Rattus norvegicus: one gene and its partners. The protein of the gene in region 2 purifies or fractionates together with the protein of the main gene of each other region. This does not show direct contact. Links are inferred from orthologs where the notes say so. Each region holds a gene or a part of one and is shown on either strand. Other genes may lie near its edges. The genes, in order: Bicd2, Ranbp2 and Nxf1.

The links.
Region 1: the proteins of Ranbp2 (region 2) and Bicd2 purify together in Homo sapiens (affinity purification with western blotting; 3 studies listed by BioGRID and IntAct, with this or other methods). This does not show direct contact. The link is inferred for Rattus norvegicus from reciprocal best matches to the Homo sapiens genes RANBP2 and BICD2.
Region 3: the proteins of Ranbp2 (region 2) and Nxf1 purify together in Homo sapiens (co-immunoprecipitation; 5 studies listed by BioGRID and IntAct, with this or other methods). This does not show direct contact. The link is inferred for Rattus norvegicus from reciprocal best matches to the Homo sapiens genes RANBP2 and NXF1.

Annotation. Positions count from the first base shown.
Region 1 is NC_086035.1:15,508,406-15,512,832, reverse strand, and holds the start of Bicd2 (protein bicaudal D homolog 2), read left to right. Parts: upstream 1-1,527; 5' UTR 1,528-1,617; coding exon 1,618-1,857; intron 1,858-4,427. UniProt on the Homo sapiens protein: Acts as an adapter protein linking the dynein motor complex to various cargos and converts dynein from a non-processive to a highly processive motor in the presence of dynactin.
Region 2 is NC_086038.1:27,005,719-27,009,363, forward strand, and holds part of Ranbp2 (E3 SUMO-protein ligase RanBP2), read left to right. Parts: intron 1-78; coding exon 79-240; intron 241-458; coding exon 459-596; intron 597-669; coding exon 670-816; intron 817-1,553; coding exon 1,554-1,733; intron 1,734-1,828; coding exon 1,829-1,912; intron 1,913-3,645. UniProt on the Homo sapiens protein: E3 SUMO-protein ligase which facilitates SUMO1 and SUMO2 conjugation by UBE2I. Involved in transport factor (Ran-GTP, karyopherin)-mediated protein import via the F-G repeat-containing domain which acts as a docking site for substrates.
Region 3 is NC_086019.1:215,094,423-215,098,261, forward strand, and holds the end of Nxf1 (nuclear RNA export factor 1), read left to right. Parts: intron 1-82; coding exon 83-141; intron 142-235; coding exon 236-351; intron 352-475; coding exon 476-518; intron 519-1,270; coding exon 1,271-1,343; intron 1,344-1,613; coding exon 1,614-1,796; intron 1,797-2,690; coding exon 2,691-2,751; intron 2,752-2,986; coding exon 2,987-3,025; 3' UTR 3,026-3,334; downstream 3,335-3,839. Other genes in the region: Tmem223 (transmembrane protein 223), read left to right, coding at 3,421-3,727.

The DNA of each region.
Region 1 (4,427 bases), on a different chromosome or scaffold from region 2:
GCCAGGATAGGTGCAGGTACTGAAGAGCTCTGTCCTTGTTGGAGCAAGGTTTGTTCCAAAACATCCTCCCTCACTTAGTGTGAAGAGCTTTGTGGGCCTGATATATGGGCCTCAGTGTAGAGCCAGGACTCTCCTAGCAAATTAAGCTGGTTGGCTCAAGAGAAAAGGTAACAACACGTGTATTTATACAACTCTCTCTTGTTTTTGAGACAGGGTCTCTCTATTTAGTCCTGGCTGGCTTGGAACTTCATATATAGATCAGGCTGGCCTTGAAATCCTTCTACCTTTGTCTCCCAAGTGGTGGGATTAAAGGTGTGCTCCACCACACAAAGTTTATTTACTACACAATTCTTGTGTTGGCCCTAGATTTTCTTTTAATCGTGTGTGTGCGTGTGTGTGTATGGTGAAGTGGGTTCATATTCCTGTGGGTACACACAGGCCCCACGTGCACTGGGAATCAGAGGGCCAGATCTAGTTGTCAGTCTTTGTCTTGCATCTTGTTTGAGGCCGGTTATCTTAGTTCCCCACCCCCACCCCCAACTTCATGCACTAGTCTAACTTCAGGGGATTCTCCAATCTCCACCTCCCATCTTGCCTTGGGAACATTGGGATTATAGACTGTGCTTTATGTGGGCTCTGGGGGTGCAAATATAGGTCCTTGCTCTTGCTGAGCAAGAGCTTTATCCTCTGAGCCTTCTCTCCAGCTGACCTCTATGTTTTATGGTGGTCCGCAGCTGTAGGGTGTGGTGTTGCGGGGGCGGAGGGTGTGCAGTGAGAAGAGGAATAAGCTTGTTATATCCAAATCACCATGCGAGGAGGGAACTTTTATTTAGACATACAGTGAAGAGTACAGCCATGTCCCGCCGAAAATCGGGGACAGACAACATTTAAACACACCTATGACATTATGCTCACGGAGGTGCTTTCATTTCTATGAAAGAATATCCTAACGGACAAAGGGACAAGAGGAAGGAAGTAGTATCCGGGTTTGGGCTCCGCTGAGCCCCTAGCGTCAGGTTGTTGGCATCCTTTTGGCAGTGCCCGCGGCCCGCCACAAGTCATTCAAATCCCGCATAGAGCGCGCGCCACACAGTCTCACCAACCAGGCTCTGACGTTGTAGGACGCGAATCTTATTCGTAGTCTCCACAGCTCAGATCGCCTTACTCTAGAAAGGATAGGAGCACAAGGCTGGAGGTTCTCCGGGTGGCTGCGGGGTCCTTGGGCTGGGGTCGGTGGCACCCTTACTGCTGTCACGTCAGCGGCGCCGGCCAATCACCGATTGAAGCCAGGCAGGCGCGGCACACAACAGGCCAAGCAGTGAGCGCACAGTAGGACTACATCTCCCACAATGCTAAGGGAGACGTAGCTTTGCGTCTCTTTAGGCTCATGCCCCCTTGAGATTTAGACCAATCACAGCCTCAGACCAGGTGGGCGCAAGGGACTGCGGGTTATGTAGTCCATGCTCAGTGGGACTGCAGCCCCCAGTGTTCCCCGCGCGTCAGGGAGGAGCAGTGCGGCGGCGCGGGCGGCCGTCGGGGCTGGGCGGCGGCGGCGGCGGCTAAGAGGGCCCGGCTTGTGGGAGCCAAGGTGGGAGCGGGCCTCGGCGCGCGGCCACCATGTCCGCGCCGTCGGAGGAGGAGGAGTATGCGCGTCTGGTGATGGAGGCGCAGCCGGAGTGGCTGCGCGCCGAGGTGAAGCGACTGTCCCACGAGCTGGCCGAAACCACGCGTGAGAAGATCCAGGCGGCCGAGTATGGACTGGCGGTGCTTGAGGAGAAGCACCAGCTCAAGCTGCAGTTCGAGGAGCTCGAGGTGGACTATGAGGCCATCCGCAGCGAGATGGAGCAGCTCAAAGAGGTAGTGGCCGGCTGCGACCCCTGCCTGGGGCTCTGAGGTCATCCTGCCCAGTGGTGGGAGGTACCAGGGGTGGGGCAGAAGACCTAGAGTTGTGGTCCAAGGCAGTGACGGAGAGTGACCATGCTCGGCCCCGTGCCCTGCTGCTGGGGTCTAGGCTCCCTGCAGCTCCACGTACCCGCTAGTTTTCTCTGCAGGCCTTAATAGTCCTTTCGTTGAGGACTGATGTCCTGCTATGGTTATTGCTGCCTTGGGTGTGTCTGTGTAGGCGGCGGGGGAGCAGACGATGCCCTTACAGCTGAGGCTGTCCGTGAAAGTGACCCCCTTGGTAAGGCTGAGCCTGGGGCTGGTTGACCACAGTCTGTCATCTTCAAGCAAATCACTGCCCCCCTTTTTGGAGCAGCTGCTTTCTGTGCTGTTCATCTGGTTTCATGACTGCCTGAGGCTGGGAAGGGATGGATACAGTGAGTCGCAGCTCCTGATTGCCCATGACCCTTGACAGGCCGGCTTTCCCAGTATCCATCGCATCAGTGTGACTTAGCTCTGGCTCAGTCAGCTGCTTCCCCCCCCCCCCCCCCAATCTCATTAATGGTGCACCCACTACTGGGAAGCATGGCTTCCATCGACCGCTTCCTGTCTTGCTCGGTCTCCTAGGCCCTGCCTGTCGCCCTGGAGTCTGCGTTCCTTCTGTCGGAACCTGGTGCTTTGTGTCATCCCACTGTAGGGAGAGAGGTTGGACCCCCCAGGCTGGCTAAGAGCTTGAGGGGGGGGGGGATGCAGTAGGAGGGACCTGGGTAAGCTTTCTGGGATGATTTAAGTGTTAGTGACTCTCCCATCCGTCTTGACTCCCCAGCCGTGTTCTGGAGACTGTCGGGGAAATGCTTTCTGGAAGAGGGACACACTTGAGTTTGGACCAACCCCCCCTTATTGCTTATGGGTGAGCTATGGGTGAGCCATGGGCAAGCTCTCCTCAAACCTTAGCTTCCAGCTCTGCAAAGTAGGAATACAGCTTTGCCAACCCACAAGTATTGCTCTGAGTGCTCTGCATTTAGAAAGGCCTGATGTGGGCCACACAGGTAGCTTTTTGGATTATCTAAATGGTTTCCCTTCCCTGTCAGACTCAGTTCTGCTCTCGGGTGTTAAAATCACAGGCTCATCTTTGGATACTTCTGCTCCCAGCCAGCTTTGGGTGGGTGCCTGAACTCTTTAGAGCCTCTCTTCTTTTCTGGGGGGGAATGAATCCCTAAAGTCTGGGTAGAACAGGGCTGGGTGAGTCCCAGAAGTGGCTGCTTCTGTGGGAAGGTAGGAATTGAGTCTTCCCACAGAATCTCAAGTCTGTTGTCTGTCAGAGGACATCAGTTACTTTCCCAAGCCTGGCTCCATCCGCAGTGGGTTGACAAAAGGAGGGGGATGGGCAGCCCCCCCTGGAGGGGGAGGGGACAGTCAAGGTGATAGATGAAGGTCAGGACTGTGAAAATATGGAGTGGGTGTATCCTCTTCCCAAATCTAGTCTTCTGTCTGGGGCTTCCCTTCCCCCCTCCTTAGTGCTCCAGGCAGGTAGCTGCACCCTTTAATTACAGTACCACTCCCACTGCACATACATATGGGTTGCCTTCCCACTTCCTGTGGAATGCCTGTGAACCTCTCCTGGGAAGCCCACTCTCCTCCTCTGAATTAGCAGGTTTCTTTCAGGGGCATGTGCTGTGAAAACTGGCTGTTGGTGATCTAGTCGGTCCTCACTTGGGTGACTTCTGTTGGTCAGCCTCCTGCAATTGTTTTATGGGCAGAATCATTTTATGACTCAGTGAAGAACAATGGTGGCATACATGTGGCCTTCTCTGTATCTGGAGGGAAACCTCTGAGAAGATGAGGAAGAGGGTGCGATCTATTCTCTAGGTGCCCTTTAGGTATCTGCTTAGTCTAATGCCAGTCCCACACTGTATAGGCTTGGACAGGCTGCTCCTCTCCCATTTGTGAGGTGGGATAAGGTTTCTTCCAGAAGTTTCTGGTGGAGTCCAGAGGAATGCATCAGCTTCAGAGAGTGTTGCCAAAAGTTTGTGCCAATCTGCCTCTTGTCAGCAGATTGTTCCTCACACCCATGCCAAAGCAGGCTCTGGTCAAACTCTTTAATCTTGGTCAGTATTGTATTTGAAATACTAACTTCTACTTTAAAAAAAAAAATGAAGATTTAAGGAGACAGCGTATATAGGAAGTTTTCTCCCCATAGAGAGGTGAACTGTCTTAAGTTGTTTGCTCCTTTAAATGTGGTAGATTTAGTTACTAACAAGTTAAGTTATGCTGTCGTCGAGTTGCTTGTGTGCTTGCCCGAGTTTAGTCATGCAAGCCTTTGAGGTGAGGAAGCCGTCTGACCTGGGTGAAAGGGTTTACAACCAGATCCCAGGAGAGCTTGTGCTGGTGAGCCAACTGAGCGTTGACCCCGCTGTCTTTATTTCTGGGAGAATGGCTATGTCTTGCTTACAACCATGGCCCGGGTGTTGACTGAGGCTAGAAGTGGAGAGGAGGCCTCATAGCCTGTTTTGCTGATATTGTGTGTCTAACTCAGTAAGGGCCAC
Region 2 (3,645 bases):
TCCACTTAGTTGATTTTAAAGGTTTACCAGTGTGTCTAAATCATTTATAATGTTATAGCTTCTGACTTTCTATTTTAGGGCAGCAGTCTTAATTCTTTTTATGATCAACGGGAATACATAGGCAGAAGTGTTCATTATTGGAGGAAAGTCTTACCATTGTTGAAGATGATCAGAAAGAAGAATAGTATTCCTGAACCTATTGATCCTCTGTTTAAACATTTCCATAGTGTGGATATTCAGGTAAGAATGAGCTAATGAACTGACGCATGTGTAACTTATCATATACAGACAATAACTAAGCAAAGTGTACTGCTATTTTATGGTAGCATTGCTTTCTCAATCTTGTAGCTGACAAAAATTTTGACTAATGAACTGTTAATTTTCTTCAGATAAAATAAATCTTTGGAAATTTGGGGTTCAAGCAATTTAACTAACAGTTACTAAATAAATGTATTTAGGTATCTGAAATTGGCGAATATGAAGAAGATGCACACATAACTTTTGCTATATTGGATGCTGTTAACGGAAACATAGAAGATGCCATGACTGCTTTTGAATCTATTAAAAATGTAGTTTCTTATTGGAATCTTGCACTGGTAAGTGATGTGACAATTGAATTGAGTTTTGTTTGTTTGCTTGCTTTGAAAATGTTAATTGTATTTTGTGTAGATTTTTCACAGGAAAGCAGAAGATATTGAAAATGATGCCTTGTCTCCTGAAGAACAAGAAGAGTGCAAAAATTATCTGAGAAAGACTAGGGACTACCTGATAAAGATTTTAGATGATAGTGATTCAAATATTTCCGTGGTTCAGAAAGTAAGTTGCTGGTTTGTCTGACATTTAGTATTGTTGATAATTGCCCAGGTTTTGTATTTTGTCCTTTCTTAAGTCTCTAAGTTTCCCTTATGATAGATGATCAGGGCATGTGCATGAATGCTTAGTTTTCTTTTATCTTAGGTTTGGTATATCTTGAAACAACAACAAAAATTCGACAGTTTCGGGGTTGGGGATTTAGCTCAGTGATAGAGCAAGACCCTGGGTTCGGTCCCCAGCTCCGGGGGAAAAAAAATCGGCAGTTTCACACTCATAGTGGTTTTCTTCCTTCTAAGTTTTTTTTATTAATTAACATGTATTGCTGATCTTAGCTTAGGATTTATATTGTCCGGTGTATTTCAGCATCTGTATTTCACTCTGTTCAAAGTATCTTAGAAGAATGTATAACTTCTATACGGAAAAACTTCTTTCCTAAGTTCACTTTCCTTTTTACTATGACTTACAGATAAAATAGTAACAACTTAGACTTTAGATTCTGCAATACTTTTATATGTATAATTTAACATGTAATAAGATGCTTGTTAAAATGGGCTGTGGTACACACATGTAGTATTCACACTTGGAAGACTGAGTCAGGACTGAGAAGTCAAGGGAACCCTAGGCTACAAAGTGAGATTCTGACTCAAAATAAGAAAAATATGAACAGCTTAATAAAACTGATTCTTTATTTCTAAGGCATTTTAACATTTTTTTGTAAACTAATGGATTTTTTTTTTCAGTTGCCTGTCCCCCTTGAGTCTGTAAAAGAGATGCTGAACTCAGTTATGCAGGAACTTGAAGACTACAGTGAAGGAGGTACTCTTTATAAAAATGGTTGCTTTCGAAGTGCTGATTCAGAGTTAAAGCATTCAACACCATCTCCTACCAAATATTCTCTATCACCAAGTAAAAGTTACAAGGCAAGTAGGAAAGAAATGAATCATTGTACAATGACGTTGTTTTCTACACATTGTAAACACTGTTAATATATTTGTGTGTATGTTTGTATATTTAGTATTCGCCAAAAACACCACCTCGATGGGCAGAAGATCAAAATTCTTTATTGAAAATGATCTGCCAGCAAGTAGAGGCCATTAAGGTAACATTTAGTTTGGCTCAATGTAACTCTTATGCTAAGATTTTTTTTCTCTAATCAGTTTGAGACAGTATGTAACCCTGTCTGCCCTGGAATTCAGTCTGTTGACGGCTGGCCTCTGCCTCTGGAGTGCTGGGATTAAAGGCCTTCACCACCACACTTGGCTTCAAGCTTGCTTGGGTTCTCCCTCCCCCTTCCCTCCTTTCCCCTTCCCTTCTCCTTCTCCCCTCCCCATCCCTTTCCCCTCCCCCCCCTCCCCCCCTCTGGATTATTTTTTACTTTCTTAGTTGATCAACATGTGCTCTTTAGTATAGTTTATAGAATCAATTTCTTTTGACTCTTAACTATATTTTCTAAGTTACTTAGAAGTCTATCGCCACATGAGATAAGAGTTTTTTAAGATAAAACCTTTTTCCTAAAAACATAATTTGATTCCTGTTATCTCTCCATGAGTAACTTGTATGTACTATCGTTACCATTTTGTGTTAATTTGTCAGCATGTATGTTATTAAAGTGTGTCAAATTTATCACTGGGCATTGAACAGTTGAGTTGAATTTTTTTTTCTTGTTTAGATGCTTTTTATATGAGTGGCTTAATTATAGTGTAGTATTTACTGGTTTCTTATTTTAGAATTACACAAATCTTTTTTCATGCCTTTTGGCTAAGAACTAAATTATTCCTACACCTAATGTTACACTAAGTACATTTTGCTATGTGGTGATTATTATGGTATGTATAATCAACAGCTTTGTTGATTTGCTCAGCTTTGAAAACTGGTTAAATAACAAAATTTTGAATTTGTACAAATACATTTTTTGTTACATAAGCCATGTAACACATTAGAGTTCCTTTCAGTGTACAAGTTTCAGTTGTTCAGCATTATTCTGTGGAAATGTAATGGGAACTTTGTCTGTGAGCCTGGAAAACTGGTTGCTACCAGAACTCGAGTCTAGTTATTGTTCTTGGAAAATTTGATTTCTTACTTTAGTATTTTGTAAAGCTTTAGAATTGATGAAACCAGTTGTTATTATATACTTTTTAATGTGTATGTGCAGGTAGATACATGTGGAGGCCACAGATGTTAATTAATAGAAGACCTTGGTTGTCTTCTATTAATTTCCACCTTGTTTTATTCTCATTGAATGTGCAGTTCACCAGTTGGCTAGATTGACTGACCAGTGAGCTCTGGGGAATTCTCTCTCTCCACCTTGTAATGCTATGGTTTTTGGCACACACCAGCAAGCTCTTATGTGGGCACTGAAGTCTGAATGCAGATCTTTGTGCTAGTTTAGCAGGTGCTTTACAGAGGGTCATCTCCCCAGTCTCCCTAGTTCTTTTACCATTAACAGTTAGGATTATATCGTATATCAGATTTAGAGCTAGGGGCCATCATTTCTTCTAGTTTTTTATTCGTGGATATGCAGTGTCTAGGCAGAGGAGTAGGTAGATGAGTGGAGATTATTTTTAAGTTAAAATTGAGGTAAGGAAATATTTGAAACACTTGTATTTATTTGTTTTGTGTTTGAGACATTGTTTATAGTAATGGAAAGCTTGAAATTTATGACCCTTTTCTTGCCTTACTTTCCCTCCTACTGGGACTGTATATGCGAGCCACCACTCCAAATGCAGCATTTGTAGATCAAGAAAGCAAATACATTAGGTTTTTTTCTGATCTCATTTGTTATAATTTGGTTGGATGCTGTTTTCAAAAATTTGAAGCTGTTTTAAAAATCCA
Region 3 (3,839 bases), on a different chromosome or scaffold from region 2:
GAACCTATCCAGAACCAAAAGATTATTTGGGAGATACAGGCCACTGATCTGACCACCACCATCATTCCCTCTTATTTTCCAGACACAACTTAGCCAAATACTTCAATGACAGCAGAAATGTGAAGAAGATTAAAGATACCAGTAAGTTTATTGTGTGTGCAGTCAAAATGGGAATCAGTAGAGCTAGCCAGTGTGGATGTGCCCTAACCGTGGTTTCCCTTCCTTCTGCTTGTAGCCACGCGGTTCCGGCTATTAAAGCATACACGTCTTAATGTCGTTGCCTTCCTCAATGAGTTACCTAAAACTCACCATGACGTTAACTCCTTTGTGGTAGATATAAGTGCCCAAACAGTAAGTACATATGTTTTCCTAATGAAGCTCAGAAGTGGGGTCATGAGTTCAGCATTCACTGGGTAAGGAGGCTCAGGCTCCGGGTTGGGAACCTCCATTACTTCGGGTGCTTTTTCTCTTTCAGAGCACATTGTTGTGTTTTTCTGTCAATGGAGTCTTCAAGGAAGGTAAGAATTTTGAGTTCTGAACCTTTCTCAGTATCTTTAGTTTCCTAGCTGACTTCTCATCCCTTTTCTTCTCCGACCTCTGTCCTATTTTGCCCAGTACATCTTGGTTTGGCCTTAAAACTCTTCCACCTGTCTTACCTGCAGTATGACAAAAACCTGGGGACCCAAACAGTGTAAGCGTAAGAGTCAGGCAGGTCTCCATTTCTTTTTTTTTTTTTTTAAAGAATTATTTATTTTATGTATATGAGTACACTGTAGCTGTCTTCAGAGGGCATCAGATCCCATTATAGTCGATAGCCACCATGTGGTTGCTGGGAATTGAACTCAGAACCTCTGGAAGAGTAGTCAGTGCTCTTAACTGCTGAGCCATCTCCCCAGCCCAGGTCTCCATTTCTGTCCCTGTGTTAATGCTGTGGGTCTGGGAAAGTTGCAATACCTTTGAATCTTGTTCTTTTTTCTGTTTTGTTAGATGATTTCATAATACTTTTGCACAGTGGTACTTCAGGAATGATTTCAGGCACTTTGCCAAGCTAGGCTAACACTTTTAAATTGTTTTACTTCCTATAGCACACAGCAAATTCTGTTATTATCTGATCTGTCCCTTTATCCCACCTCTGTTTCCTTATGACCAAATAACCCTCCTTACCTGACCAAGTTAGGAGTCTCTGTGTCAGACACCGTGGTGTGAGTGATAATTGTAAGATCAAGCCTGAATGGCTTAAGGAGCCATTGCCACACTTCTCTCATTGCAGTGGACGGGAAGTCTCGAGATTCTTTACGTGCTTTCACGAGAACGTTCATTGCTGTTCCTGCCAGCAATTCAGGGTAAGTACTCAGCTTATCAGTTTGGGTATTATTTTCAGTCCCAGGGTAGCAGTGTGATAGCTGGAAGGTAGAGATATTCCTTAGGTAGTTTTCAGAATTGCAGAAAAGCAATAGAAGTTTATGAAGTGAATAGCAACTCTTGGTGTGTTAGGGAATGAAAGGGAACATGGGAGGGAGGGGCATGTGGATGTTAACCAGATCTGAGAACAAAGACAGTGTAGAAAGATGAGGTCATTTGTCCGTTTATTTAAGATTTTTTTTGTCCCCAAGGCTATGTATTGTAAATGACGAATTATTTGTGCGGAACGCCAGCCCTGAAGAAATCCAAAGAGCCTTCGCCATGCCTGCACCCACACCTTCTTCCAGCCCAGTACCCACACTCTCCCAAGAACAGCAGGATATGTTACAAGCATTTTCTACCCAGTCTGGCATGAACCTCGAGTGGTCTCAGAAGTGAGTGTTGAGCATGGATAGGACCAAGGGGAAACAGATAGCCTGACAGTGAATTAGAGTGCTTTAATAAAAAGATTCCTACTAAGAATTCTGCATAAATTATTTTTTAAAATTTAAAGCGCAAATGAAGAATTCGTTTTCTGTCCCCCTCCCAGCTACCTATGGCCTCCCTCTTCCCCAAGCAGAATTACAGATTAAAGCTGACTTCACAAATGCAGTAGTCACTCTACCACCAAGCTCTTTTCAGGTGGTTGTTTTGAAACAGGGTCTCACTATGCACAGAGCTCTGCTTGCTTCTCCCTCCAAAGTGTTGTGATTAAAGGCATGAGCCAAGTTTTTATTTATTTATTGTTTGTTTTGTTGTCCATTTTTAAACAGGAACTCACTAAGTTCACTAAACCTGGGCTTCAACTCTTTACCCAGTCCTAAATTCCAGTGGGCCTCAGCACTCCAGGGAGCTAGGGCTGTAGGTACAGCACATGCCTAGTTCCGAGTCTTTATGTATGGTTCTGCACCTTTTGTTTTGAGACAGGGTCTCACTTTGTGCCTTGGCTGCTTGGAAGCCACTGTGTAGCCCAGGTTTGCCTCAGCCTCACCGAGTTCCCCAGCTGCTTCAGCCTCTCCAGTGATAGGATTGAAGGCCTGAGCTGCCTTGCCCAGCTGGAATGTAGTTTTTAAACTGTATAGCTCTTTCCCTACCAGTGTAAACTACATTGGTCATTTATGGTAGACATTTTGACCATTTAACATTTGTACAAGTGGTGCGATGGTGTGTGAACTTAATGAAAACATTGGTGACGTTCTCCACGGGTTGGATTCTGGGGTGACATTCAGTGGTCAGTGACTGACTGCATTTTGGTTCTCATGTGGCTTCCTATTTTAATCATACTGCAGGTGCCTTCAAGACAATAACTGGGACTACACCAGATCTGCCCAGGCCTTCACTCATCTCAAGGTAAAGTATAGGAATTTTGTGGTTAAAAACGGATCTCTGCGCCTTTAAAAAGGGTCAGATGAAGGCTGGGCGTGGTGATGGTTGCCTTTAATCGGCATTTGGGAGGCAGATCTCTGGGTTTGAGGCTAGCCTGGTCTACATAGAGAGTGCCAGGACAGCCGGTGAGTCACAGGAGCTGAGCAGGGAAGGTGGGAGAGAGGTCACCTGGCTCTACTTATATTTTATCTTTCTGCAGGCCAAGGGAGAGATTCCAGAAGTAGCGTTTATGAAATGATCTCAAGAAAAGTCCCCTTGTAAATAGCCCTTGGATAATATTGTCTGGCTGTCATCTGCGGACTCCTGTCCAGCCCGAGGCCACCCTGTAACTGTGACTGGGGAGGAAGGGCTGCTTCATCCTCCTCACCTACCTTCTGGAAGACTTAGAGAAGACTTCCGGAAGATTGAGCCTCATGGTGCCAGGAAGCCAAAGCTTACTTTGTAGAGCTGACACTAAATTACCGAAGGACTTAGGTGCTCTGTGTACTTAACCCCAGGATTCCCTTTACTTTTTAAGATAAAGAGTGATATTGTAGTGTGTGTCCCATTACTGGCTTGTTTCCCTCAATGTGGGAGGGGTGGGAAGGTGCGTCGTTATAGGAAGTCCCGCCCCGGAGACGGAAGTGCTCCGCCATGGCGGCGACTCTGCTGCCACGGTCGGTTAGCCAGCTTTTGTCTATGCTGCGGTCCGGAAATGTGCACCGGTCTTTGCAAAGCGGAGTCCCACGGGATGTGCTGCTTTTCGAGCACGAACGTAGCCGCTTCTTTGCCATCCTTGGACTGTTTTGTGCGGGTCAGAGCATCTTCTGGACTTCCCTGGCTGTTGCAGCCTTGCCCAAACCTCTGATTCGAGTACCCGCGGAGGCTCCCAACCGGGGCTCCCTGGACCTGCGCTCCGCACTCTGGCGATACGGGTTAGCTGTTGGTTGCGGCATGATGGGTAAGCACATTGCTGTGGGGCTGTGTGCACAACGCTCACTCAGCAAAAAGGGGTTTCCAAAAAAGTAGGTGGGACACCCGGTATGGGTGTGGTGTAACAGTCTCTGAATGCC